4 linked regions of the Drosophila melanogaster genome follow. The protein of the gene in region 2 interacts with the protein of the main gene of each other region in a pairwise test. Each region holds a gene or a part of one and is shown on either strand. Other genes may lie near its edges. The genes, in order: CG1309, CG30080, wat and CG17600.

What was found.
Region 1: the proteins of CG30080 (region 2) and CG1309 interact in a two-hybrid assay, tested with the Drosophila melanogaster proteins (one large-scale study listed by BioGRID).
Region 3: the proteins of CG30080 (region 2) and wat interact in a two-hybrid assay, tested with the Drosophila melanogaster proteins (one large-scale study listed by BioGRID).
Region 4: the proteins of CG30080 (region 2) and CG17600 interact in a two-hybrid assay, tested with the Drosophila melanogaster proteins (one large-scale study listed by BioGRID).

The regions. Positions count from the first base shown.
Region 1 is NT_037436.4:4,255,336-4,262,720, reverse strand, and holds CG1309 (uncharacterized protein), read right to left. Parts: upstream 3,292-7,385; 5' UTR 3,179-3,291; coding exon 3,053-3,178; intron 2,978-3,052; coding exon 2,664-2,977; intron 2,613-2,663; coding exon 2,461-2,612; intron 2,354-2,460; coding exon 1,750-2,353; intron 1,684-1,749; coding exon 1,416-1,683; exon of another isoform or gene 1,360-1,415; coding exon 1,249-1,359; 3' UTR 1,078-1,248; downstream 1-1,077. Other genes in the region: CG11586 (uncharacterized protein), read left to right, coding at 355-457, 517-998; CG15011 (uncharacterized protein), read left to right, coding at 3,594-3,708, 3,775-4,385, 4,447-4,605, 4,659-4,775, 4,833-4,949, 5,006-5,137, 5,201-5,409, 5,465-5,645 and 2 more; CG1265 (uncharacterized protein), read right to left, coding at 6,791-6,921, 6,991-7,111.
Region 2 is NT_033778.4:15,696,906-15,704,811, forward strand, and holds CG30080 (uncharacterized protein), read right to left. Parts: upstream 4,792-7,906; 5' UTR 4,771-4,791; coding exon 4,724-4,770; intron 4,668-4,723; coding exon 4,474-4,667; intron 4,419-4,473; coding exon 4,309-4,418; 3' UTR 2,959-4,308; coding exon of another isoform or gene 2,783-2,958; intron 2,714-2,782; coding exon of another isoform or gene 2,683-2,713; 3' UTR 2,249-2,682; coding exon of another isoform or gene 2,111-2,248; 3' UTR 1,821-2,110; downstream 1-1,820. Other genes in the region: CG33462 (uncharacterized protein), read left to right, coding at 1-119, 174-219, 296-474, 537-1,009; CG42662 (uncharacterized protein), read right to left, coding at 2,111-2,248; CG46433 (uncharacterized protein), read right to left, coding at 2,683-2,713, 2,783-2,958.
Region 3 is NT_033777.3:29,016,501-29,023,953, reverse strand, and holds the start of wat (waterproof), read left to right. Parts: upstream 1-3,547; 5' UTR 3,548-3,931; intron 3,932-7,453. UniProt on the Drosophila melanogaster protein: Catalyzes the reduction of saturated fatty acyl-CoA to fatty alcohols. The preferred substrates are C24:0 and C26:0. Necessary for the final stages of tracheal maturation, to facilitate the transition from water-filled to gas-filled tubes.
Region 4 is NC_004354.4:22,512,033-22,519,464, reverse strand, and holds the start of CG17600 (uncharacterized protein), read right to left. Parts: upstream 4,269-7,432; 5' UTR 4,177-4,268; exon of another isoform or gene 4,096-4,176; 5' UTR 3,872-4,095; intron 1-3,871.

The sequences.
Region 1 (7,385 bases), on a different chromosome or scaffold from region 2:
AAAATCAATATTTATCGCACATCGATTATTTTACCTACCTGTGGTTATCGTCGATGTCCAAAATTAGGTCCATTTTTTTGTGTATACAGATTCGGACTTATATGCTATTAAATAAGCTTTAATTTAAACTTTAAATACAATTTTTTTAAATTAAAATTAACAACTGCTTTTACATTTTCACATCCGCCTTCTGGTTCCATCGATAACATTTAAAAAAAAATATCAAGTTGTCATCCCTGTCCAAAATCTTAGCTCAGACGCAAACCGCCGCATCGCTAACAAAAATATTTACAAATTTTCATTGCCTTACTTTTACCGAATAGATTTTAGTGCAATTGTCATCCCAGCGCCACCATGACGATGCGACCTGATGACCACCGAAGGAAATGGGACAAGAACGAGTACGAGAAGCTGGCGGCGGAGCGGCTGCTCAACCAGGTGGCACCCAAGGAAGAAGGTCAGTGTCTAAATTCCCTGGAAGGCACACATAATAAAAGTCTTTTTGTTTTTCACCAGAACCCGTACAGCGGGAGAACCTCAAGCGACGCGACTATAAGGTGGACCTGGACAGCAAGCTGGGCAAGAGCGTTGTCATCAACAAGAACACACCCACCTCGCAATCCGGTGGCTATTACTGCAACGTTTGCGACTGCGTGGTCAAGGATTCCATCAACTTTCTGGACCACATCAATGGCAAGAAGCACCAGCGCAATCTGGGCATGTCCATGAAGGTGGAGCGGAGCACCGTCGACCAGGTAAAGGAGCGCTTCCAGCAGAACAAGAAGAAGATGGAGGAGAAGCAGAAAGACTACGAGCTCGAGCGCCGCCTGCGGGAGGCCAAGGAGGAGGAGGATCGCTACAAGGAACACCGCAAGGAGAAGCGAAAAGAGCGGAAGCGCAAGGCCGAGGACACGGACTTCGAGTCCGGCGGCATGCCCGACGACATGGCCGCCATCATGGGCTTCTCCGGCTTCGGTGGATCAAAGAAGAACTCGTAGGAACTAAGTGTTGAACTGCCCCTCCCCTCCAATTTTAGCTGTACCATGAAATAGAAACTAACCACAAGACGACGCGTCTAGTTTAGCTTGTGACATTTATTTTGTATATAATTTCACACCAGTTCAGAAGACACCAGCTACCCGGCTGTTCCCAGTTAGAATAATTTAATAAGCAGTCAGAAGGCAAAAATTACTAAAAACCATTTTACTAAATCTAAGCATACGGCCGTGGATCACCTGCGGAATGAGCTTAGGTGAACACAAATCCCTGCTCAGTGGGTATGTCCCACGGCATGGTAAAGAACTCCCCGGGCAGCTGGGTGCAGTGCGTCGAGTTATAGTCACGTAAATGCTTGCGCAGCTGAAAGGTGAACAGTATTAGATATATAGACCATTTAAACTGCCGAATAAACCCACCAAGAACACAGCCATCAGATTGCGCACCTCCTCCGAGTAATCTGCTCCAATGTTCATGGGGAATGACTTGCCCTCGTCAGAGGCGTAGGTGATCAGGCGCGACATGCACAGCTTCTCGTCGGCGACGGGGATACTGTATGGTTCCAGGGGCTTAGACAGCAGCCCCTTGGCCTTATTCAACTGGGAAGCCCCAAAAATGTTGGGATACCGGTGCTTGAGCACTGACAAGACCAAGAAATTTCCGCGGTTTGTGTCAATGTGGTTGTCCCTAATGGAAATCAATGGGTTACGTTTTAGGAAAGACCTCTGCCCAAATGCAAAAGTTATCACTCACTCTGCAATGATCTCATCCTCAGTGCGGCGAATAAAGGATATGGGTCCATTGAACTCGTTGGCCAGTTCGGCATTGTTCAAATTACAGTAGTTTCGAATGGCTACCTTGACAATGCCCGCCAGTGCAGCTGGCATGCGAGGAACGGCCAAGTAGAGCACATCGTCGAAGGTGGCGTCTAGTACCACTCCCTTGACATCCGGATACACAGAGGCAGCGTATAGTGTACTAAAGCCACCAATGCTCCAGCCATACAAAATTATATCCTCTACGGGGAACCTAAGATTGTTGATGGCAAACTGCACCACGGCATCGATGGCGTTCTTGTCCTGGTGGGGATGAGGAGTGCCTGTGCTGCCGGCAAATCCGGGATGATTCCAGCCCAAAACGGAATACTTTAAGGCCACTGGGGTGGCCATAATGCCCACTTCATAAAAACCGGCATTGCCCTCGGAGCAAATGACTAGAGTCTTGCCATTTCCCACGTTGTTTGGGCGATTGTCAATGAACAACGTATCGATTTCGTTCGAGTCAATGGTCTTAACCTTGTAGCGGATGCCGTTGTCATCCTCGATGAGCTTGGCGCGTCCGGAGATCAGCATGGGTCCTGCAAAATATTTTAGGTTCAGTATATGTAGAAGTCTATCTTATGGGCTTATCGGATTGCAATTTAACAACATTTCAGACAGCTTCACATATGTATATCTTTCTTACTCATAAGTTTCTGGAGTAGTTTGACCGAACCCGGATAGATCATGGAGAGCCCAAAGGTGTTTATGGCCAGGTAGGCGATGGCCTCACAGGGCAGTGTCGCCAGCTGGATGGGCTCCCGCCTTCTAGCCGTAACCACCGGCTTTTTGGTATCACTGAAAACGAAGATGTTATTCTGGCACACTTCAAAGGCGTAGCCCACTCACCCGGTTAGAGCTTTCACATCAAAGTCCACCGGCCAAGCGTTGAACTCGATGTCGAAGCGACGCAGCTCGCTGTTGGCATCTCCTGGTGCCTTGGAGGACTTTGCTCGGACGAGGGCCTTAATCATGTTGGAGTAGGAGCGCGATTGCTTGCGCCCCAGGCCGCGCATCACCAGCGATAGGATGACGATGAGGCCCACGCTGGTGGTGATCTTGGCCAGCGTCGGTATGGAATCGGTCACCAGGTAGCCGCGTCGGTATAGGAATGTGACGAGCAGCGGAGAAGTATAATAGCCCACGGACCACATAACCGATAGCTGCAACGGAGAGTGTCGATTTTCCACATTACCATATGCTCCAGATTCTGCCCCATGGGATCGCAGGGCACTTACCGTCGATAGAATCTGCTCCCCGAACTTTTCCACGGCACCTGCCTCGTACATCTTGCGCTGCGGCTCCGGCACACCGCGGTATTCCATGTAGAGGTTGGGGCCAAACACGTAATTTAGGAAACTCATCTTGGATCGGATCGTAGTCGGTATGTCTGGATATATTTAATTTTCTCTATTTTATTTTGTTGCAAATGATGTGAAAGCTGTTCCAGGGTGTCGCACTCACGAACAGATGTTTAACATCGAATACCAGGGCTGCCACATTAGATACCTGACCTATTAATTGTAAACTTCAAAATGTTGGTCCAAATTATTAAATGCAATAAAATATGCAGAGAGGATGTTTGATAATTTAGGTATTAATGTGTATGTATGTATTTTTTTTGAATTAAATGAAATTCCCAATTGGAAACTGAAAGCTCACACAAATGTGTACCTTTCGGAACTAGATCCCCTAATTGCTGTTATCAGAGAACGAGCCATCCCTGGTTCTACCCCAGGAATTTATTCCCAGTTGATAGACAAAAACGCCGGCTTAAAAATGGAAAAGTTTAATAAAGCGCAAGCTAAAAATTTGGCTGCCGCCCAAAAACTGGTGGACACCTACGCCTCCAGCTCCGAGGATGAAGGCGAACTGGATGAGAATCACATTTTGGGTAAATCGACCGATGCTTGTGACGTGTCATTTGAAAACCATCAAATTTTGTGCTTTATCTTTTCAGAACTCCTATACAAGAACTACAAACCGTCGGACAACGCAGGAAGCTCAAAGGAAGCGGCACGCACCAGTACGTTTCTGGAAAACACTCTACACTCGGGAGCGGCAACCTGTCTCATTTGCATCGGAAGCATTCGGCGGGTGGAGGCCATTTGGTCTTGCGAGAGCTGTTACTGCTTCTTTCACTTGAAGTGCATCCAACGGTGGGCCAACGACAGCATGATGCAGATGAAGGTAAAGGCGGCAGAGCAGCAGAACGGCCAGGGCCACTACAATCATCTGGGCGAATTTGTGCCGCCCAAGCGACAGAAATCCCTTCACTGGTGCTGCCCCAAGTGCCGCAGGGACTACCAACCGGCCGATAAGCCCACGCAGTACAACTGCTTCTGCGGCAAGGAGGTGAACCCCGAGAACCAGCCCTTCCTTGTGCCCCACTCATGCGGAGAGCACTGCGGAAAGCTTTTGCAACCGAAGTGTGGGCACGATTGCAAGCTGCTATGTCATCCGGGGCCATGTCCTCCTTGTGCGCAGCAGGCGCAGGTCTCGTGCCTGTGTGGTAAATCTAGTCCTAGGTCCGTGAGGTGCATTGACAAGCAGTGGACGTGTCAGCAGACTGTAAGTCTTAACGTTTTAAGAAATTTTGTCTGACCACCATACTAAAAAAATGATTTTCCAGTGCAAGGAACTTCTAGCCTGCGGCAAGCACAAATGTAATCAGGTGTGTCATCAGCCAGGAAAGTGTCCTCCATGCACCAGCAAAAGCTTACAACCTTGCGAGTGCCAGCGGGAGTCGAAGATGGTCAACTGCTCCGATCGGAAATGGAAGTGTCAGAATGTAAGAAAAGCCTTTTGAAGCTGAAGCATAAAACAACATTAATATTCTTTCAGGTTTGTGGAGCTCCATTTGCTTGTGGTTTGCACATTTGCGAGAAGGTGTGTCACGCTGGACCCTGCGGAGATGGAGAGTGTCCTTTGCAAGTCAGGAGTTGCCCATGCGGCAAGAATGTATGTGATATATTTATTTACAAGTTTATATTCATTTATGATTACCTAATTCTGTAGACCCAGGTAAGACCCTGTAATGAGACAGAGGAAACCTGTGGCGATACGTGCCAAAAACTTTTGTCCTGTGGCCAGCACACTTGCACCCAGCGTTGTCATCGTGGACCTTGCATTTCCGTAAGATAGCCACCAGGGAAGCAAATCGATTCTCTAATGAAATATGTTTCTTACAGTGCCCAATAAGAACCAAAAAGAAGTGTCGTTGTGGTCTGCACGAAAAGGAGTTGCCCTGCTCCAAAGAGTTTGCATGCGAGACTAAATGCAAGCAAATGCGTGATTGCGGCAAGCATGCATGCAATAGAAAGGTATAAGAGCACGCAAGCATTTTAAATGTATACAGCCGAATTAACCAATAACCTTTTTTAAAGTGCTGTGGGGACCAGTGTCCACCGTGCGAAAAGATTTGTGGCAAGCAGCTGAGCTGCAACAAGCACAAATGTCAGTCCGTGTGCCACAACGGACCTTGCTATCCGTGTAAACTGGAATCCCAGATTAACTGCCGCTGTGGAAAGACCAAAAAAAGTGTTCCTTGTGGCAGGGAAAGAAGTGCACGCATTGTCTGCTTGGAACTCTGTCGGTTCGTATTTCTTTCGCAATATATAATGACCGACTTTTAATCTCACTTCTTGCAGCATAACTCCCAAATGTCACCATGCCATTAAGCATCGTTGTCACAAGGGTGACTGTCCTCCATGTGGCCAAGTGTGCGGTCTACCCAATGACACCAGCAAGTGTGGGCACATCTGTAAGGCACGATGCCACGAGGCAGTTAGAGTTAATAAACCCAAAGAGGCTAGGCCACAGGCCAAAAAGGTAACTATAATCACAAAACTCACCTATCTCAACATTAAAACTCTACAATTTGTTTTACAGTATGAGTATAAGGCATTACCACATCCACGGTGCGAGGAAGGCGTCATTGTCACCTGTATCGGAGGTCATGAGGTTGCCACTTGGCCATGCTGGAACTCCAAACCCACTTCCTGTCAGCGATCGTGTGCACGTCAGCTTAAGTGCGGCAATCACAAGTGTTCATTGGTTTGCCATTTCGTACCGCTTCCCCAGGATATGTCTGCGCAAACTGGCTGTGCCAACTGCGAGGAGGGTTGCACCGTTCCCCGACCAACCGGATGTATTCACGCCTGTCCCAAAGGATGTCATCCACCGCCCTGTGCGCCCTGCAACTTTGTGATTAAGACCAAGTGTCACTGTGGACTCAACCAGTTGGTTTACAAGTGCAACGAGTATTATGATGAAACGGGATCGGTCCAGGAGATCATCGAGCGAAGAGAAAAGCTACGGAGCTGCGGTAATCGATGCTTGAAGAATGTAAGTGCTGTAATATACCATTGTCGATCAAGCCTTACAGTGATATATATATTTTTTCAGTATCCTTGCGGACATCGCTGCACAGCCATCTGCCACACAGGCAAGTGCCCAAATCCCGAGTTGTGCCGCAAGAAGGTTCGCATTTTCTGCGCCTGCAAGCGACTCAAGCAGGAGATTGCCTGTGACAAACACCGTGCTGGTCAGACATTCTTGGATTGCGACTCGAACTGCAAGGCGGAGCAAATTCGCGTCCAGGCGGCAGAGCAACTGCAGCTGGAACAAAAGCGTCGCGACGAGGAAGAAAGAAACCGCCTGGAACTCGAGAAGTTCGAGGCCAAGTTCGGCAAACGCAAGCACAAGGAGCGCAAAACTGTGGGTTCTGGACCGGCCAAGACCAAGATCGATTGGCAACGTAGAGCAATCTATGCAGTATCCATTCTAACAGTTGTGGGTGCAATTGTGGTGGCTTTCTACGCGGACAGTTAAACGAGTAACAACAACCGATTCAAACAAGAATTTGTAATATCAATTTAAACAGATAAGCAAATAGAATTAAAACAATGACTGATAAGCATTTCCAGCCAGCGCAGTGTTTGTCTATGTTGAGCTTTTCTAATCAGGCTGGCCAATTACTCCGCCTTGGCCTTCTTCTTGTAGACGCAAGCGGCGGTGAAAACGGAGGCGCTAAGGAACGTCGAAATCAGGAAGTTTGATAGCAACATCCAATCGTGGGACTGGAAGAACACCGTGTAGATTCGAGCTGTAAGGGATACATATATGATGTGTTAATTGATGACATCAAGTGATGGAATGCAAGATGTGATCTCACTCATGTTTGTAAAGGCGGAGAGCGCCCATGTGGTTCTACTGACGGAACTGGCATCCTTGGTCCTCAGAATAGCCAGCAGCTGGAGGACCTTACTCGTGGCTCCAATGGGAGTGCAGAAAGGCTGACGGGAAATCAAACATTTAGATGAATTTCACGAGATTTATATATATTGCCCGAGCACTGAAAGTATTAATAGCCGCTCAAATATTATACAACAAACATCGGTGACCTTGAGCGAAGATGCTGCCCAGTTAAGAGCACCGCCTTTTCAAACTAAAACAAATAACAAATCAAACCAAACCCGTTTGCCCGGAAACATAATTAGTTAATTGGAAAAGAGAGCGGGGAACGGGTTTGAACTGCGCCGAAGTCGTTATCTGGGCAAGAATACCCGA
Region 2 (7,906 bases):
CGGGATTCCGCATAACATTTCTGAACGAAGTGTAAATGCAAAGTTGGCGCAGAATCCATGGATGGCCTATTTGGAAACTCCAAAAGGATTCCATTGCTCTGGCACTCTAATTAATCACTGTATGTTTGCATATGATATACTTGTCGTGCAGATCTAATGCAACTCTGTTTCAGTGTTCGTCTTAACGGCAGCTCACTGTGTTCCGGACGACTTGCTAATGTAATTAATCATTAAAAACATATTTATATATTACGATTATACTCAGTGTGAATCTAATTAAACTATTTTCTTAAAGAACCGTTCGCCTGGGAGAGTACAACACGAAGACTAAGGTGGACTGTGACAACCACCTGTGCCAGGAACCCTTCCAGGAGTACAATGTGGATATGGGCTTCAGGCATAGGTATTATAATGCGAATGACCAAACCAACGACATCGGCATGCTGCGACTCGGAAGGAGGGTGGAGTACTTAAGTGTGTCTAGTTAGGATATGAGTACGACATTTTTATAATATCGATGCATTTCACATATGCAGATCACATACGTCCGATTTGCATTTTCGCAAGCAACCGTTTCCAGGAGCCGATAGACCAGCTCACCTGGTTTACGACCACCGTTTGGCGTGAAACTGCCGCTAACGCAACGAGCAAAGTTCTTCGGACCATGAACATCGACCGCCAACCCAAAGAGACGTGCTCCGAAATCTATGGCTGGAATATGACGTTCGAACAGATCTGCGCCGGCAACACCTTGAGTCAACTCTGCAGCACCGACTCCGGGGCTCCGCAGATCCGCAAAATGTGGCACAATGGCTCAGACCGCTATGTGCAACTGGGCATCGCCAGCAGGGTGAAGGGCCAGTGCCAGAACTCTGGCATTCTCATGGATCTATTGAGCTACGCTGACTGGATAAAACGGGTGGTACGGCAATACGGACCCTCGACGGATATGAACCGTTCATTAAAGAAATGGGTCGATAAAATTCCAGTATTTTACTACCCGAAATAATATAATATCAATAGTAAGCTTTCATTGCTAGTCCTTGTTTAATATAATAAATTAAAAAGTTTAATGTTGAACAATAAAGACTATGTCGCATTTAACATTTCTATGTTTCTAAGCAAAGAAACTCAACAAATCTTGTTTTCCTTTTAAAAAAATTACAATATTATTGGCTTAATCTCAATTGACTGATTATGATTTTCTTGTTATACATATAACAAATCCATCTGAGTTTCAAGACTTTTTATTTTAGCCAAGTTTCGCATATATTTGTTACATTTCATGTAGAAAAGATTCGATCTTACATTGTTGGTTGAAAACCATGCTAAGCGTTGGTGATGTAAAATTAGGAGGATATGTATGTAGATTGAAAAATTGTTTAAATGCATTGTGTAATGTTTAAATAATTAAACATTTTTTAGTTTTGATAATACATTTTCTAGTAATTTTTTATTTATTTATTAAAACAATTTTAAAATACTGAAATACCGCAAAACTTAGTCGTATGTACCAATGTTCTTCATATCACTTGTAGCTCTTTTGCACGGAAATTTAATTTGCTCAAAACACTTGTTCCAATAAGCAAAACGTGATTGCTTATATTAGCTAAGGTCAGCTTCTAGAGTATGCCACGGATAAAGAAAGAAATTCGTGCTAAAGTCGTTTGAAATTGGCCCATTAAAAATGTTTTCTATAAACAAGTTCGGATCGCATGAAATTGCAACCTGTTTTGCAAAGAGTGCGAATAGCTCTTGCTAATCGATATTTCAGAGCCCTCCCGATCCCATGTTATCTGCAAGTTGAGCAAAATGGTTGTGTTCATATACATTGCATTTTATATTATATTTTCACACTAAAACTAATTTCTAAGTATTAACATTATAGCACATAAGTTAGATTAGTTACGATGGGATGAGCTATAGATAATTACACATGTTTCTTAACATTAACATTATTAACATATAACATAACATTATTTGTGCAGTTAGTTGATATGGCGATATGTCGTCGAGCCGGCAATATACACAACCGGTTTTTGTGCCGCACTTTCGAGAGATTCGATTGCATCGGACTAGGTTGAATCGATCTTAGTAGACCACGATGGAGCTACTGCATGGCGTGTCTTGGATGGATGTAGTGGGATCCGGAGTTGTTGTCCTCCCGGTAAATGGCGGTCATCAGGAGCAGCAGGGTGCCGGCGATCAGGGCTCTAAAGACTTTGTCAACAAATCGAATGTGCTCCATGTTCTGATGCTCGTCGACTGGTCGAAGCTTTGGAATTAGCAATCTTAGCGCGTCTGGCTTTGAAACGTTACTGAACGCTCGTCTTGATAGCGACCGGAATTTATTGCAGCTCCAAGCGAGGTGTTTTCCCCCTACTGAAGGTTGGATGGTGGAATTGCTGCGGCAAGGGTAGTTTCCCAGCCGCCGACTTGGAAATGCCCCAAACCCAATCGCGTTACGAGCACTTTACAATGCCACAAATTGTTGTATTTCAGAACTCTGAAACAACAAAGCGAAACCCCCCTCTCGGAACGAGATCGTTGACTGACTCTCTGCGTATCGCTATAATGAATTCAACTAACAAATTTTGGCATCGTCAACGTGCCAAGATTGCAAATCAAAAGCAATCTGTTTTGAAGACGAGGCGACGACGCATTTTCTTGGATCATTGCTCTTTAAAACTGACAGAGACTGGACTCGAGGAATCTGGAAGAATCGATATAGGGAGGGACATTTTTTTATATGTATATCTAATATCATTGTATCCAAACTTACCTAACATATTGCTGGAACTTGGGACTATGGCAAAATTGAATACAACTGCGCCACATGTTTTGCGAGATCTTTCGATATAAGGAAAGAGTATTTGCGGCGAGACTACTAGAGATCCGAATGGGATTCAAGGTCCAGTTAAGGGGAAAATCCCGCTCGATGTTCTGCAAGTGTGGCATCTCTCGATGAGTTCTCGTTTCGGACTGAGGATCAAGGACTATTTGATCTCAGGTAGGGGCGCAAGCAGCTGCATTTTCTTTGCGCCTCCAGATGCCCAGGGGTAGGTCATGTCCTTAAGAGCAGGATGGAGTGAGGATCAAATTCTTGTTACCTACAATTCGCAATATGGTTTACTCTTTAGATGTGTATCTAACCGAAAACCTCTTTATGCTAGTAATATGACTGATGAGCAAATCTTCTCTTAATTCAGTAAAAATTCAGCTTTAAGATACAATTATGTTAGCCGAAAACAAAGATATTAACAGAAATGGTATCAACGCATTCATTCTTCACCCTTTTTTATATTTAAAATAAATATTTAATGTTCTCTATCCTGCACTGCAGCATTATTTGTTTCTCTGTAAATTTAATCACTGCAATATGCAATCAAGCTACCTGTAATCAGATAATCCACAGAGATTCCTCTGAAGTTTGACTGTCTTCTGCATTCAGTTCATATCAGAGCTTGGTGGCGCAATGACGGTTTTGCAATTGCTGCTCCTGGTCATATGCCTTAAACTTGGTCAACAATCCGGACAAGCAGTTCCCTTTGGAAACCAAACAGAGAAGCCCTGTAAGTGCCAGCAGATGAGGGGTGACCTGTAGTAATGTTTCCCTCCCCAAGATCAAACATACTGCACCACCTACGATCAGAAGCCAGGCAAATGCTTACACTACAGAGAATGTTAGTGCATCGCGAAAATAGTTTCGAAGCCAAAGGACCAGCTGACCGCCAAGGACTTGGAAATAAAGAGGAATGCCCCTTGTTTTTCAAATTCTAAAGTGAGTGGTCATTTAACAAAGCGACATATGCTGATATTCCAATCTTTCAAAGAAATTCATTTGCTGTGAGGAATTCGTGCTGATTGCCAGTGAGAGTTCGTGCGGAGAATTCGGGGATCAGAAGATAACTGGAGGGAGCGAGATTCAAATGGGATCTCGACTTTGGATGGCCTTGCTGCAATTGAATCTTTCAAAACCGAATGAGAGGTTATCCTTTGCGTGCGGTGGCACGTTGATTAGCCCACTTATGTATTAAGTTAGTCCGAAACCAGGGAGTCTCGGTTAATATTTTAATATTAATATTAAATATTATTATTATTATATTATTATAAAGCAAACAAGATTATTAAATAGGTGACATTGATAAGATAATTCATGTACTTTAACATAAGCGAATAGGAAAAACAACTTAAGACCAATCTTACTTCGGACAGCCCCTAATGTTGAACGTTTTAGAGTTTATCAGGTATATTGCAACTAATTGCAAGCTCGTAGTTTTCATATGTCTTACGTTAGATACTTTCAAGCTAAATGGTTTGGTTATCTACGCTGAGGGCATCCACTAACTGGGAAATTCGTTGAGCTCGCGTCAATTTCCACGATACGCAGGACAAAGCCGTGATGAAGAAGCCAATCGCTATAAACCCAAAGTTCATCATAGGAACAATCAATTCAATAGCACTGTTACTCACCCATTAGGAGAATGGCCTCGGAAGTCTCATCCTGCCAGGCTTTTGAGACAACGCACAGTAAAATGAATCCGCTGAGCAGGCAAAAGGATCCAACTACGACGGCCAGTGTTATGAGTATGATCACCGGATCGTTTAGAGGACCATAATCAAAGAGTGTACGGCAGAGGGACGTTTTCCGGGGCATAGGAGTACCACTGTTGAATAAAAACTAACTAGTAGATTTGCTAATCCAAAACTGTGCACTACGAACCAGGCTTGAGAATAGGTGGGTAGAATGGGAACAGCTCTGCACTCCATGGCGCTCCTAAGGAAACTGAAGTTGGAGCTCCACACTAATGTTTTTGGGTGGCTGGCGGGCCCTACTTCTCCACATTCTAAATTTAGCCCTCAGTCGCGGCTGACGATCGCAGACGCGTGTCTGAGATTGGAGTTAGGGCGTTACATTATCTATTTATAGCCATCTAGGAAATGGTTCGATCCGGCGGAACTAGCGGAACAGATGTTTGAGTTCAGCCGGCTACTTCTGCAGTCACAATGCGTCTATTTTCGTATCTATTTTCTATGCAGAGTTCAATGCTCTGTGCGTTGAGCTGAAGAAGAAATCGAAGATCCCGAGAAGTCGTGTAATGTAATAAATCAACTTCATTACTGCCTCATAAACGTCGAAAAAGGAGGCGTGGCGGGGGCGAACAAGTGCGAATCATTAACTCGATGTCTCGAAGTTCACGTTTCGCATGTGCCAAGGTAGCGTTGACAACCGACACGCGCAGTTTCCCCCCGCATTTTCCGCCCATCACCGGCGTAGTTATAGAAATATACTTGGCTGCTGCATTCAAGCGAGCTGTAAATTATGCAAAATAACGACGTCAAAGTTTCAATATAATGAAGCCAACGGACTGGCGGGAGTTTCGGGGCCCGCAGGTTGGGGAATATTATAGTCTGAAATTTCATCCCTAATGTTTCTATGCCATTAAGCCAAATAGAAAACGAAAAGCAACTTATGTGCCATAATGTTATACCTTTAGATTCCATGGATGCATGAGGGTGAATTTAAAGTTTCATTTCATGCACGTACTTAAGTTTTAAATGGTTTCGAAAGTATGTGAAACGACTAGTTGTGAGTTACCATTAAATATATTACTTTACAATTGTTTAATTGAATTTCGGGTGCATGTAAAAACTCTAAGGTTTCTTTACAACAGTTGAATGCTAGAGGTTATAACATTTTTCCCCTTGGTTGTGGCCTGAGACCAACACTCAATCACTGCCCCAAGTCCTGAAGACATAAAAATCAAATCGAAGCCGTCGCCATAAACAATTATGAACTTTGTTGCACATTGTTGTCCACACATGGCCACACGGATCCTGCTCCTTGTCGTCGCCTTGGTTACATTGTAAAACGTTTTATTGTCGCCACCATCTGGCGACGATTTGTTGGCAGCAGCGCACCGCCGCCAGACGCCCAGCCACCCACTGAAACCACCGAACCCACCAGAGGTGCCAATATATCCTTTTTCTTGCTTATTTCAAACCCATTCAGCTAATGGAAAAATACCATTCCCGGTTGGAAAGGCATAAAATATGACCTGATATGTATCTAATTAGAAAAATTACTCCAAAATAATATTTAAAAGTTTTTTGATAATAATATTTTAAAATTATTTTGATAAATAACCGTACTTCTTTTTTTAATTTAACTTTTTTTGCTTATTTGCTCATCACTGAACCCACCCTAAAAATCCGATTTCAAGGTGTAAGCCGGCGGCACGACGACAACTGTTATGCTTATCGGATGCTTTCTGAATAAGAATAAGAATTCGGATGCGGATGTGGATGTGGATGGGACTCGAGTGCGGATCCCAGGCGCTGAGGCAAATTGCTGCTGATTGTCAGGTTCAGGCGACGCTGCGTAAATAACTGAAAGTGGTCCGAGGTGCCAACTGCCTTTGAGCCGGACCCAAAAGTTTGGCGAAGCACATTAGACGGCGATGGCCAAACTTCGGACCGATTAAGTTGGGAGTCGCAATGAAAAGGGCAGTTGGCAGTTGGCAGTCGGATGATGGTGATGCTGAAAATCTTATCGCCGCACAAGAACCCGTTTCTTTTTAGTGCCGCAATCAGCGCTGTTCACTTGCAATGGCCGTGGCAGGACAAATATTTTACTTTTACTCTTTCGCGTCCGTTTCGAGATTCATTTTTTCTTATACCGTCTCCGTTTCTGACTTTAACTTTCCGCCCCACTCCCCCCAAAGTTGAGCTCTCTAATGCGCTGCAAAAGTGTGCCAAAGACGCTGACAGCGAAATCAAACACAAGTCGGTTGGAGTACATATATATAAACGGACAAGCAGCGGAGAAGGTCCTGCAGAAGGTCCGAGGAAAGGATGCACAAAGTTAAAATTAAATTAGCGTTTTTTCGAGCTACGCAGGGTAGCAGGGCGATGAGAGGTTGGGTCATTCTGGGCCACGAAATGAAGTCCAAGGGCACGCGATTCTCTGGGGAATGCAGGGTATCTATGGGTCGAATCCGAATGATTCCCACTAACAAGGTATTCGCATCCTAGTGCCACTGTCTGTCACTGCCTGCTACTTAGCCAAATTAAAATTTCAGAGCACCAATGCGCTGCACGATGTTGGGCTACATAAATAAGAAGCTAATTTGAAATAACTATACTAATATCTACATTTTTAAAAGTTATAAACTAAATTGGTACCAAACAAATGAGCTTAATTAAATATGTGGTATTCCTTCAGATATTTTATAAGTTACAAAACTAGTTGTGTTATAATGAGATTCTGTCAAGGGATCATCGTAACTTGTATTTTCTTAATTTATTTAATTTAAATTTGAAATATTGGTAGAGCATTAATCCTTCGACTCGCGAACTAAGCAGTTTCGCTTCCGTTTCGCTGTTAGTGTCCTTTTAGCGCTTCGCATTTATGCTTGTTTAAGCAAACGCCGTGTTATCGTCCGGATCCGGATTCGTGTCCGTGTCCGTGTCCGAGTCCAGTCGAAAGGATAATGCGCGTAATTGTTGTCCGTGCCCGGCAGTTGGCGCTGAAGGAGCGCCTCTATTTGCATGGAACGCATTAAAAGTCGCTGGCGCAGCGCCGTGGCAATTCAATTTAAACGAGTGGCATAAGCGCAATCTGGCAAACTAGGGATTACCACTAATGCCGCACGTATGCATGTATATATCTGGTATCCGGAGTTTAGTGCATATATGCCAATGCTCCGGGAATGACTTTATCGGTACTCAATGGCTCAATTGTTGGACCAGCCTCTGTGACTTTCGCTCTCAGCCCTCTCGACACATATTCGCATATCCGCACATCCGCATATCCACATTCGCATCTGCCAGAAGAGCCAACGGCAAGGGCACTTCGAGTGCAGTCAGTTCAGGTCGAGTGTTCATTAAGCGAGATCAATGGGTT
Region 3 (7,453 bases), on a different chromosome or scaffold from region 2:
GCAGCGCAGTCAACACCTGTCAACGGCCCAAAAGCCATGTCCGTGTCGACGTCAGCCACTTGGCCGCTGCTCCTCCGGATCCGCCAGATCCCCCATTTCCTCCATCACCGGTTTCCCCTGTCCGAGCCACTTGAGATGCATTTGCCTATCCCCGAGTGGAATTAATAGATTTTCATAGTTTTTGCACTCTGGCGTGGCACGCGAAACGCAATCAATAAGGCACTAGAATGCATTTCTCTGAATCGCTTTGGTGACTGCGTCTTTATGCCGCCCCCATCACCATCTCCATCTCCATTCCTATATCCTCCATCCAACCAACCGACGATCCCCTACCCCCCAATAAAATCGCCGGGAATGAAGATGTTGCTCCATGCAATTCGGCGAGTTGTTGTTTGCACGATTTGTTGCCGTGGCCGAGCGTCTTTGAACCCGCTCTGAATTTCAATGGCTTCCGTTCAGCCATGTCCATGTGTGTCTTCCAGCCAATGTGTTGGTAATTCTGCATTCTACCGTGACTGATACTTTTATACCCTCGATGGGGCATTTTATTTTTGCATTGAATGGCGAAGTTGCACATTGTCACAAACCATATTTTCACTCCGGGAATTCCGTCGAGAAGTGTTCCCAGAAGTGTTCCCAAATTAGATTGCTCACCACTAAATTCAGGCATTTGCTTGACTTTGCAATTAGAGAGTAAGCGACCAATTCCAAGATCTTTATAGTATATATCATTCCTTGGCTTCTTCAAGTTGTGAAGGGTATTGAAAGCATAGGTTTCTTTGTGTGTTAAGAACATATTGGAGGCGTACGCTGCGTTCCGTCTGGCCATAAAATAAATCAAGCAGCCCGACACCAGAGTCAATAGTAAATCACGGCTGAAACGGCAAATTACCAGACACTACTGGCCATCATCTCGTCATCGAGACTCCTCGAATAATTATGCGGTGACGCGACGAATTTTCCACACACTCCAAATGCCGAATTAGCCCTGGCAATTACCTTTTTAGATTTGCAGCTTCTGGACTTTGAGTTTGATTTGTTATGGCCGCTGTTTTCTTTTTCTGTTTGTCTTTGAACGGCGCTATTTGCTAGTCGATTTGTTAGAATATCGAGAGGTAAAAAACCCAAATGACTTGGCAATTTGCCTTGGCTATTATCGCGATGACGAAGCTGGCCAGTTTTTGGGGGTGCAACCGTTTGGATGGATCCGCGATTTCGGCCCGGATTCTTGTCGCTCAAGAGCACCAAGGTCAACTTTCGCTTTTTTAGTGCTCCATTTTATTGGGTTCTTAAATTTCGGTTGCGTTTATTGCACTTCGCTTTTCAGCTCGACTGTTTGGTTAGTCCATATGATTTTGGCCATACGATTGAGCCTGGTAATGCAAGCTAATTTGACGGTCCATAAACGGTCTGTGTGGAACATAAAAAAAAACCACCATATAACTAAATAGTTTATAAAAACAATAATCGTAGAATGATCAGCTTAAAAAGTATTTTAATTTGGCTCGAACGTATTTCAATGCCCTTGAAAATAAACAGGTAGATAGTTGAACCTTTAATAACTGACTATGTCAGAAACGAAGAATAACTTTTTAAGCTAATTACTAAGACCAGGTGCGAAAATCGGCGAGAAATCAGATTTTCAAGGTATTGACTCAAAAAGGTAACACTCAGTTGTCTGGGTAAATGTTGCCCTATTTGCTCATTGCAAACTGTCCGCCTACAAATCGTAACTTTTTATATAATGGAGCCCCGAAATCTGCATAAGTAAAGAGGCATTTCAAAGCAATTACACAGCATAAATAAAGGCATCAAACAATCTGCAGGCCGTTGTACCTCGAAAGTGAAGTAATTATACATCAAAAGCGAATCATGTCATTGTCAAGTGTTTGAACAGAGCTGAACAAGATCGGATCATACCTGAAAAGTGTGCACTTGAGTGTCTTTTGATGGGGCCACCATTAATATGCAGTGTCTTGATCGCGAATATTATTATTTTAATTTCGTTATTTCGCATTTGTCATTAATGGGCCTTTTGTTTCGTTTTCGTACAGCGTTTGTGCGAGAGATATTCGAGTTTATAGACTCTTTGAGCTTGGCTCTGGTGTGAGAAGATACTGCGTCAAGATACAGATACAGATGGGATCGGCGACAAAACATGCTGGGAACTACGTGATTGATGGCGGCACTGCGATTACCAGCCGAACAGCTGAACAGTACTGAACTCGACTTAGAATACTCGGCCCAGGCGAATATATTATAAATGCTGGGATATATGCGAAATCAGTGAAATCTTGTCGCGTCTAAAAAGGAAAATCACACAGCAAATGCAAAATTTATGAGCGAACTACGTCGAACGACGTCTCCGGGCGAACGGAGCAGGAATACCAATTGGGCTGGGTTTTCGATTGGGATTCGTATAGGGATGGAGCGGATGTGCACTGCACTCGAGGATGAGTCAGCTGAGCCGGAGGTCCGTGTGGGTTCAGCCCTGTCAGACAGATCAAACTATAAAGACAGGGTCCAGGTTCGCCGAATGTCTTTAATTAGCCAGCACGGTTTCAGAGATCTCATCTAGTAATCACTTTATTTACCAGACACAACTTGGGGTCAGCATGATAATCATATGCTATCATCACTTAATTAACAACGGAATTTTTTATACAAGATAAAAGAACATACATATAATGCAAAGTAATCCAATACATTTTCGGTTAATCATTTTGCACTTCTTAACAATCATAATGATAATCCGAAAATTCAATCGCTATGTATTCAATTATATGGAGCCTCATAATATATGATATATGTACACGCTGCGTATGAGTAATATTTACAGTTCATCTCGAAATCTTTGCTAATATTTTGAGTATTCGTCATCTTCGTTGGAATGATAACTACTAGTATACATTGGGTATGGGAATATTCAATTTTGAAACTCAACTGAATAAGGCAATTGTAAAAGATACTGGCGTAATCTTTGATTACCAGCACGTTTTGTTAATTGTTTATTAAAGATGCTTTGGAACCTTCAAAATGCTCCATTTAATAGGATGAATGGCAAGCTGTAAGCTAAGTAACCGGCGCTATTTTAACCCAAGTGACCAGCGCTTAAGTGAAGTCCGATGTACATATACCGCAAATATATCTCAAATGCTTCGGCTTTACGAGGCTCCATAAAATTGGATCATAACACTGGCAGTGTCCGAAAGCGATGCTCAGGTGCGGCAAGTTAGTACGACTATGTACATGTGTACACTTCAATCGCCAGTCCAAACTGCGCCACTCAATTTGACTTGATTTTTTTTTTAAGTTTGGCTTACCGCCCACAAAACGCCGCAGTCGCCGTCGCAGTCGACGCCACCGTCGCTGAGGCGCTGAGCCGCTGAGCCACCAAACCGCTGAGCCGCTGAGATGCCAAGCGCACCACCATCGAGCCGCTGAACGGCGCCGATCCACGGACTGAGAAGCCGCCGTCAGGTGTTGTGGTTTTTGCGAGCCTCAATCGAGCTGAGTCTGTTTTCGTCTGCCTGGCAGCGCGGTTCTGGAACGCGTAACGCTCGCATCGACTTCAAAAGTTAGTTTTCAAACTCGGGACTCAATTCGCTGGATATACAAAACCGATTCGGTTCGGATCGCGGTGCGCTCCCAGTTTTTCCACCTGTTGCAACCAATTTGGCATCGCTCTTTTCGCTACTCTTGTGCAACAGCGCGTGCTGCAGTTGTAAAGCGCGTTTGGTTAGAGAATTTTTATATATTTCGAAAGTGGCAACTGAAAAAGATAGAAAACCAAGAGATATATCCCTGTATGCCAGCGAGCAAGATTCGTTTTGGCAGATCCACGAGCCCTCCAATTAGCCAGCAATTTGCGGAAAGCCACTCCAATCCAATCCGTGGCCGTGGGATCTGTGCCTGTGCAGCCAGCAAATCGGTGAGTCTTGAATTACATGGGATTATAGACAATCTGCTCTGCTATCCGTATACCTGGTAATCGTATGACATATGCCATTACGTATATGCTAGGCACTGTAGGTAGTGGTGGTGGTAATGTAGCTGGCGTTGATGGCTTTCTAAAAAAAATACCCATATACCCAAATACCCAAAACGGGTTGGATTCGCTCCGCAGGTGCAGGAGGGGCCGACGAAGAGCTCATAGCCAATTGCCAGCACACAGGCATTCACGAAAAAATGTGTGAAATTTCATTGAATTTCCCAAATTTAATACACAAACAAACCCACTCGGCAATTGGGAAATAACTCATTGTTTTGCCATTGCAATGGCAAAAGAGTTACGGCTGCCAAAGAATCGATAATCGCCAGTTGGATTATTATATTACTCCCGTGGTCTTTGTGTATTTCAAACAAGTTTGCATTCATTCGTATTTTATATATGGCCAAACCCAAAAAATAATTGATTAGATTGGGAAAAACATTCATTACTGGATCAAGAGCAGTTCGATCAATATTTAAATTCCCACTTAGCAGCTCACTAATTTGGCAGAATAAATAATATTATCTGTGACATTTGGTTTTACAAATCCGTGACTAATTGTTCTGTGCTGGCTATAAAAGAAATTACTTGATGCTCAAAAATATACAAAAATATACATACCTTTTGTAAAAGAGACTAAAAGGCCAGAAGAGGATTTTAAATATTTAGAAGATACGCATTTCAGTGAAATGTCGCAATAAAAATGTGTTGCATTAAATATTATTATATTACGTAAATCATATTTCAGCTGCGCAGAAATGTGCAATTTGCCTCAGCTTTACAAGCCATTTAAAATCCGAACTCAATTAAGCGATGTAATTTGGAAATTAAAGTTCATAAAGAATTTAAAGAGTGGACGCCCCCAAGCCCTTTATACAACAAATACTTTCGTTGGCCAAATTTAAATGGCAATGAAATGCATTCAATGAAATATGCATGAGAATATCATCATATCGTGCTGAAATGAAACAGAGTTTAAAAAATCGATTTGTGTGCCACAATTAAATGGGCCTCAAGGATGCAATTAAAGTATCTAAGTATCTGTGCAGGAAAAACCCAGCCAACTCTTTAATTGAGGCGAGACGAGAAAATAGTGCTAAACTTCATGTCATAGCGATTCAATTAATTCGCAATTTATCAATTTTCAGTGCCAGGGCTTTTTGATGCGGCCAAACATATTTCATTTGTCCACCACAAACAACTGGTATTCCAGTTCGGATGCGGATGGGGATTCGTTGGGAGTTCGCTTCGGGATCCGTGGGCGGATGGCTCTGGTGGCTCTGGTGTTCCATGTTCCATGTTCAGTGGGCTGACGTGGTGGGGCGTCAAGTGGAAAATAATCGATGATGTGCCCGGGCACAATGCAAACATTGAATCAAAGTCAAATAGCATTAAACTTTTTGAACTTGCGAGGCGCGGCGAACATAAAAAAAATGAAATAATAATAAAAGTTTGCCCGCCTTCCAAGAGGCGTGAAAGCGCACACAAAAAAGTGGGCAAGCGGGGTAGGGGGTTTTTTTTTGGGTTCCTGGGTTTTTGGGACTCGGTGCTGCAGTTTTGGATCTCCCTTTCCAGAGATTTAGTGCTTTTCTTTTTTTTGGATGGATAAGCGCAGCGTTGCGCAAATATTTGACAAATCCCGCGAAAAGTCTGCTTATGTTGTCACCTCGCCTCGTTGCCATTTCTATCCAGCACCCAGGGAATGGAATGGGATAACTGGGATGGGATGCGATGGGATTTGCAGTGTGACTGGCACTGGGCCAGTCATGCTGATTAGGATTGCACCGAAAGACACTTGCCACTTGCCACTTACCACTTTCAACGTGCGACAATGTTTTCGAATTGAAATCCGAATCGGAATTTGCATGCGAATGCTCGCGGTGTAATTTATATTTCGCACTTGGCGCACTTTTCATTTCGCTGCGCGATTTTGTTTATGCAATTTGGCCAACTGCCTGCCGAATGCCAAAAGGAAGGCAAACGCCTCAGGCTTCAGGCTTCTGGCTAACGAGTGCAGGCGCGTGTCTGTATCTATATCTGTATCTGCACCTCTATCTGTATCTGTATCTGTATCTGTATCTGTATCTGTATCTTGTGGATAGGGAAGACCCCCCGAGATTCCCATATAGCAGGTGAAGGCGAACGTAAATGCGCCAATTTGTATGCAAGCAGCATTAATCGAGGGGTAATCCGGCAGCGATGCATTGCAGCCAGTTAAAGCCCAAGCCCAAGCCGATTCCGAATCCAAATCGAAGTCCAAAGCCAAATCCAGAGCCAGAGCCACTGCGTTTCGACCTGGCCAAGAGGGGCCGACATTACGTGAGATGTGCAATTGCACGAAATTGATTTGCAATCGATAAATGTGCGAATATTGCTTCTGCTGCGAATTAGCAGCCAAACAGCCAAACGGCCAAGTGTCCAAATGGCCAAGATATCCGAAGGCGCTCTTCGCCTTGCATTTTCCAGGCGTGTTTAAGTATGCATAAATAACTCATCGGCCGCCTGACCATGAATCCAATTGGGAACATCTTCATTTAAATTGTTTAGTAGCCGAGCAATGCGGCTGAGTAATGTTTGCATTGTATCTGCATCTGTGCCTCCGGTATCTGCACATTTTTCAAGCTGCCAAGTGGCAACGTTCCTAAATAAAGGTATGTTTTGAACATAAATTTTGTCAATTTCAACTATTATCGGGTGAGTTTGCATTTACCATACTCGTATAAAACGTACGGTTTTAAATTACAACAAAGATCGAATTTCCATGCAGATATTCTATATATTTGTAGATAAAAGTGTTACACTTGTAGCTGTTCATTTGAACACGGCCATATTAAATTCTGCATGCTCATTTAATTAGTGTAATTATATTTGGCACAGTACATATGTAGCTGCTCTGATATGTTTCATATTACACTTATTAATTATTTAACGAGCGCTGTAATATATAATTGTAAAATTCCTGCGGTCTGAATAGCCCACTCTGAGTGACAGCCAGTTGATTTAAACGGAATGTGTTCTTTAACTATAGATGAACCATTGATAAGAGGTTAACCCAAACATTGCAATTATTTATATATTTTAATGCAGCATCTGGGCGGAGAAGCATATAAATTATATTGTTGCTGAAACTTCCCATGCCAGCATTGATATTGATAAAATTCAAAATAAATCCAATCGCTTTCGGGCGTAAAAAAAATCGCCTCTCTTCTATCAAAATCGCTCCTTGGCCTGTGTGTGTGTGTGTGTGTGTTTGTGCTCACGCTTTGTGCTGCAAAAATTGAAAAATCAAACACAAGGAAAACCACTCGAGATTCAGCAGTGCAATCGATTTCCAAAGCAACATTGGTGGTCGTACCAAAGCAGTTGTATTGGTAATATTGGTAGCATAGTAGCCACTGACAAGGTCAGCACTTGGGCTTTTATTTGGGGCCCGGCGGTTGTCGCATTCTAAGCAAATCGCAA
Region 4 (7,432 bases), on a different chromosome or scaffold from region 2:
CGACTATAGTCTTACCTACTATAAACGTAGGCATTGGCTTTATTCATGTTAATTTAAACAATTGCGAAGAGAAAGTTACACTCATCAATAACACTGACGATAAACGAGAATTCTTTTTGAAAAAATGTTTCATTGAGAATAGGAATTAAATTGGAAGATATATTGACCATTGTTGATAATCGCCTGCATGATTCCACGATTTAAAAAATAAATTGGATTTACTGGCCGATTTTTGAATTAATACAATTCGTAAATACTAGATTCGTTCTAAAGTATGCAACAGGCAGAAGGAAGCGTTTCCGACCAGAAAAATGATGAAATTTCGCAAATGATGAAATTCGCATTAACACTAACCGAGTAAGGGGTATCTGATAGTCGGGGAACTATATAGCATTCTATAGTCATTCGACTATAGCATTCTCTCTTGTTTTTATTTGGTCTCTTCGTGAGATCGACATTTTTTTACACTTAAAAAAATGTAGCTGTTAGGATGATTTTGGTTTGATGTTTGATACCATATTGAGGATTTGGCGATGTTGTATGTTAATTATTTCTTGAAGTGTTCTCTTTTATATATTTAAGGTTTTCAATAGTTGAATTAATAAATACCTTCATGAAAAATGTGGAAATAATATAAGACTCCGACTTTGGGTGCAACTTGGCAAGGCGTAGCGCAATGTATTGCATATATCGCATTTGGTTAGCTCGCGACGTGCCTGCCTAATCTGGTTTAAAAAACAAACGTTGCACGCAATCGAATTCGCATTCACAGTCTCACAACCCGATCCCCCCGGGGACACAGCCCCCATGATCTACGGTCTCCGCTCCCCAATCTGCGGACAATTAAGGCGGCAAGGTCGTCGCCGTTTGCCGCCGCTGGAATTAACATTTGAAATGACTTCATACGAAAATAATTGCACGAACGGAAAGAGATCAAGCGGCGTGTCTGCGGAAAGTGGCTGCTGGCTGCAAAGTGACTTACGCACTTGCCACGAACACTCGAAAACGAGTGCAACGCACGCGGCTAATAGCGGATGGCCAACAGGCCAACTGGTTAACTGGATAACAGGCCAATTTATGGCCGAGCTTATGAAATTCAAAAAAGGGGCCACAAAACACCAGACATACATATCGCGGCGGCAATCAAAATGAATCGAAACGAAACCAAACACTTGCCCGATCGCGAGGAAATGAAGTGGTGGGCCGGGCATATCATTAGATGGAACTGTCGATTTTCCAAGGTTGGAGGTTTCAAAGAAATAGTGCAAAAATTTTGAACTGCTATTTAGCTTTATGAAAAGTACAACAATATATTGTATATCATATTATAGTAATAACTCTAATAACGATAACTCTATAATAATTTCAGAGCACGAACTCATAATATCTTTTTGTTTTTGCTAAATAAAAAGTTAGGATGTCCCAGTTCAATAATCAGTAGTTGACATACATATAAGACGCTCTACACATTTTCTGCCTGTGCACTGTGCGTCTGGTTCCCCCTTTCACTTTCAATTAGCCAGTGGGCAGCGCGGCTTTTTTGGTCTCTTTGCAATTTTTTCGTTTCGTTTCGCATTTATTATTATTTATAATATGCGCATTTCAAGGAAAAACTTTCGCTGCATGCAACATTTGGTGTGTGGTGTGCGCTGCATTTCCTGCAATTATCGCATAAGTACGCGTGCTGAGGGCGGAGAATGGAGTGGAGTGGTGAGTGTAACCGTCCCGACTATGATTATGAAACTAAGAGTACAACTCCATATGAGTGTCCATAAATGTATCAAGCCATTATGCAGCGTGTAACGTATTTGCAAATGCGAGTTTCAAGACCCTTTATCGAAACCTACCGCTGCTCAATCGGGTTCGAAGATACGATACGATCACTGGCATTACAGTCGATTGATAATGCAATTATTGAAATTCTCATCAATCAGCTAGTGGAAATGCGAATGCAAAATTTCATAATTTTTCTGGGATATATCGGCAGATATGCGTTGGAATAGTGAGGAGCGTGCCTTTGCCGTTGAGGTCTACTTTTCAAGTGGATGTTCGGTTATTAAAACACAGCGTGCATTTCGGAATAGCTTTAATTTAGCCCCGTTGGCTAACGTCCCAGACCGCAAATCAATTGTCACATGGGTCACTACATTCAGGCAAAGTGCAAGTGCGACGAGACGCAGAACTGGAGTCCCTCGACCCGTTAGATCACCTGAGAACATTGGGATCGCCACGGCGTTCTGTGAGAAGAATTGTTCATGATGATCTTCAATTTTATCCGTATAAGATGGCGATAGTGCAGGAACTTTCAGAACGTGACTTCAATTCTCGGATGAACGATTCTTCTTGATGTCATTCCCGAGGATGCTATTGTTTATATTTTAGTGATGAAGCCGATCTGTACCCTTGTGATTTTTTTCTATGGGGTTTCTTGAAATCCCGTGTTTATGTGAACCGTCCAAGAACCCTACAAGATTTAAAAACCAACATCCAAGAAGAAATTGACAACTTAACACCTGCTATGCTAACAAACAAGAGTCACGACAAAACGCCAGAAATCGGTTTACGCAATATATGGAGAATGGGGAATGTCACCTATCAGATTTCATTTAAAAAAAAATAAATAAATAAAAACTTTAGACATGTACCTACATTATAAAAATAAACAAATATCTTTCGATGCCTACAAAAGTTTTCATTGAGTTCGTAAAAAAGGTAATTATGCTGCCGCATCCTGTAGTTCCTGCGATTTCGACGTTCATACGGAAAGACGGACAAAGCCAAATCGACTCGGCTATTGATCCTGATCAAGAATATATATAATTTATATGGTCGGAAACGCTTCATTCTACCTGTTACATACCTGTTACGTACCTGTTACATACTTTTCAACAAATCTACAATAGTATACCGTCTTACTCTACGAGTAACAGGTATAATTTTTGGAAAGAAATTACGTTATTGCCCCCATAAAAAAATTTATATTTTATATAAAAAAAAAAAATAAAAAAAATTATTTTTAAAATTTATATTTCCGACTCATCATTGATTTGAAATAAAATAAAAACAATACAGACTAACTTTTGATTGAGACTCAAGTACAAATTCAGTTCCCATCGAATTTGGGCTGCAATCCACGACAAATTTTTTAAAACGAGTGCAGTTTCCTTGATAAAGTCTTGTCAACTGCCTTCGCTCTTTTATACATATTAATTTTATTTTTATTATTTTTTTTTTGCTTGCTGGTCAGCCCGAATGAAACAATTGCTAAGAGGATTTATTCCGCGGAATATAAAGTATTTATGAGGCGTTTTTGCTGGATTGCTGGGTACAGGGGCAACAATTTGACAACCTTAGGACGGAAGCTTGTTAGGTCTTTCTTTTAATGACTTTGCCTCGAGACTTCGAAGCACTTAATGTACGCTGGTCAGCTATTCGTTTTAGAGCCATTAGAATGCGAAAACATCTCGAAAATGTAGAAAAGGTTGCGCTTAGCAGATATGTATTCAAAGGCAACATTTAAATTCCTAGAATTACTGTAGAACTGCAGAACTGAAAGCTTACGTAAGCCTTGCTTATCACCCTTACGTAAGTTACGCAATTTGTCAAAATAACTTTGACGAAGATTAGCATTTCAAACAACTGTTGTTATTGTTAACACAAATTAGACATCTTCCACTTAAACCATCTGTAGATTTCAGAGAACATGTTTATCTGAATAAGTTACTCTGGGCAATTAGTTGATTTTGTGTGATTTCTCAAGTGCTCTAGAGACTCTTTCTGTGCCAAGTTGTCTGCGTATGTTTTTAAAACGGTTTTCTGTTTTTCAAGCATTCGTCAGTCTTTTATTTTTAGTTTATCTGTGCAAACTTACTCTAATTAAAGCGGCGTCCCTGGCCTTTGTGTGTAATATTTATTTATTATTGTCTATTTATCAGCTATTTTCTCCTGCTGCGCCTTTGCGATGTGTTGTGCGCTATTATTGTTGCTTTATCTCAGGTTGAATGAAATCAGCCCGCTAATTTTGCTGTTGTTTTCGCCGGCAGCGTGCTGCGTGCAATTAAAATTCAACAAATTCCATTTCACTTCAACACACAACTGCAAAAAAAATACATGCGGCGATAAAATATCGAAGTAGGCAATAAAGCGATCGGTTAATTGGCGATTCACACACGGTACCGTTACTCGAAGACAGACGAAAGCAGAAGGAGAGCGCAAGACAGCGAGCATGCGCTTGCGAGTTTCTCGGCGGCGCGTTCGTTTCTAACTGAAACCAAGTTGATCGCTTCGCGCGCTTTCAACCGCCGCATTTCTCAGTCGACGTCGCTGGCCGAAAAGCTGGCAAAGCGGAGCCTTTAACTTTTGGTATGCCACCATACTGTTGTTGCAGTCGATGTCGGTGATGGAGGCCCCAAAAGAAGTAGCTACACTTGTTGTACATATGTATGTATGTACATATGTGTGTATGTATATTTGTACGTACCGTATGCACCTTCCACCGAAGACCTCCGCGTAACATTAGAGTTGAATTTCTTGCATAGCCCGATTTGGCTGGAAAACTCAAAAAATACCACCGGGGCATCACTGTTCGGACAGTTTTACAACCTGTTAGCGTAAATCTGCGCTTAAAGAAGTGCCGACAATCAACAACAAACGGTAATGAGTGTGCGCAGGCGCAGCAACAACAACGAACTTTCGAATATTGAACTTTCTGCCAGCATATTCAACCTGGTGACCGCCGTTAAATTATAATCAATTTCAATTTCAATCTGCTCTTCACCTGCAGCTGCAGACAAAAGGAACAATTTGCTGACGTCACGCCGGAATGCTGCGACAGGCGAACAAAATTGAGAGTGATTTCAGGGCGAAAAATCAGGTGGAAAATCGGGGAAGAAAATGATTAAAGAAATAACGAGAACGTGGGGAAAATACATAGTTAGCCCGCCAAGAAATCTACATACGTATATAGTTCTGTTTATTTCATCATTGTGAATATAGTACATATGTATGTACGTATTTCATTACATCTAAGACATTGAGATGTGATAAAGAAAAATTGAGTATAAAATAAAGAATATTGAGTATAACATAAGTATAGTTAACTTATTTATTTTTACCAATTATATTATGCACCTTTATAAATTTTATATACCAATCTCAGTTGAATAAAAAGTAGTTTCCCATTACTCTCCATTATTCATTAGCAAGTTTTTTCAATGCTGTTGCCTTGGGTTGGATTGAAAAAATGCGTTTTGTTCATTGCCGAGAAAGACGTGACTGGAGAATCTTTTTTCGGCTCGGGCTTTTCATGGATATTTTAGCCTATTGCTGTTATATAACTGCATTCGTGTTTCTGGGATGGCAAAGAAAAAATGGCAGAGAGTACGTTTTGTAAACTGGAAAGGCGTGTAACCGATGCAATGCGAATGCTTAACGGCGGCAGCAGCCCACAAGAAAGGCAGCAGATCCATAAACAAAAGGCTACAAAAAATATATTCCGAAATTATAGGCCATATAAAATAACCCGAAAAAAGAAGCGGCTACCATTTGAGTTTGGACTTAAACATTTTGATTACTTTTTGGCGCGCAACGCAAGCACCGCGTCTGCTCTTAAGTAAAGTGCTTTAAAAAGAGCTTTCAATCCGCGTTATATGAAAGCGAAAACAGCAAAAACATGTCACATCATTGAAATAGCGAAAGAAGATGCCCAGGAGCTGATTTGTAGTGACCCAGAATAGTAGCAACATCGAGAGAAGTTCCTCGACTACCAGATACCCGTTGATCAGCTTGGAGGACTACGAGATGGAGTGCAAAATAGATAAACGATCAAAACATTCTCACAAGTGTGGGCGTTGGAGTGGGCGTGGCAAAAAGTTTTTGGCAAATCGATAGGAATTTACAAGACATAACAATATGAAAAAATAGCACAACAATTTTCAAAGTAGGTAGCTTGTGGGCGTTAGAATGGGCGTGGTTTGTTGGCGCTGCGTCTATGTTCCTAGAATCTGTATGCCTAATCTTAACCTCTTTAAGCTTTTATAGTTGCTAAGATCTCGACTTACATACGAACGGACAGACGAAAAGGGCCAGATCGACTCGGCCATTGATCCTGATCAAGAATATATATACATATAGAACAATATATATTCAACGAATCTAGCATACCATTTTACTCTACAAGTATACGGGTATAACATTTACTTTACGCAAGTGGTAAAATAAAAACACATGAGACAACAGAAACTCAAGCCCGAAAAATGGAGAGATACTTAGTCAATTGCACAAAAACTCCTGGCCGGCAATTTCGTGACTGGTTTTCCACTTGTTTGTAGTCTTTTCTCCGCTTTTTCTTCATTTTGACTTTTGTTACTTCTGGCACTTGCTTTATGTAAGTTGCAACCTGCAGCTGCTTGCTGCAGTTGCAGCCGCTGCTGCGACACGATTGTGTCTTTAGTCTTCCGTTTTCTTTTCCATTTGGCGGCGTGCTCATAAATCGCTGATCACATTGCGAAATGAACTCCATGATAAGCAGAAAAGATATCCATGAATACGATATCGCATATCGGCTGATTAAGAAGGAGCTTATAGTATATGTACATATTGTACATTTTTTGTCTGTCCAAATATGTCGATGAACTAACCGGCTGGCACGGCACGGCTGAGAATAGAGTTGTGCAAGAATGCAGTTGATATGTAAAAGGAAATTTATGAATATTTGTAGACAAAATAATAATTCTTGGAAATTGGGCTGCACCAGATTTCTACCATTTCAACTAAAATATTATATTCGGTCTCATAAGAATATTAGTTTAAACAACACAAACTAGCAGTCACTAACAAATCGCAAATGTGTGTTAAATGTACACCATATGCACGCACACACGTATCCGATGAATTCCCCTTAGCCATTAACCAGACATTCAATAAGTCTAGGGCGACTAAAAAACGAGTTCACTACTTTGATTGCCGATCGGGCCAAGCCCAAAAATGAAAACACGCAGCAAGTGTGGTACACAAACTGGCACAGCGCAATCACACACACACACACACAGGTGACAAAATCACACGGATACGAAAGTTCAGAGATATGAAAATTACACAGATACAGCAACAGTCAATGATCTTTGGGAGCTGTTCGGATTTTTTATTTGGGGGCTCCGGCGAAAGACCAGACCAAACGAAACTCGCACATTTTGCCGGCTGCTTTCACTCTCCATTGGGTTTTGGAATTCTTTCAAAATGATGTTTAAGGGGCAAGCGAAGAGAGAGAGAGTTGAATAATTTCGAAAACGTCGCCTGTTGACGACTTTTTTCCTCTCGTTCACATCTCAGTATCTTTCACTTGGCAGGCGGGGCGTATGCGCGATTTGAAATATCCATTTTTTAGCCGCTTCCTCCGCCCTGCCCTTCGACCAACAAATGCTATGGTGCGTAA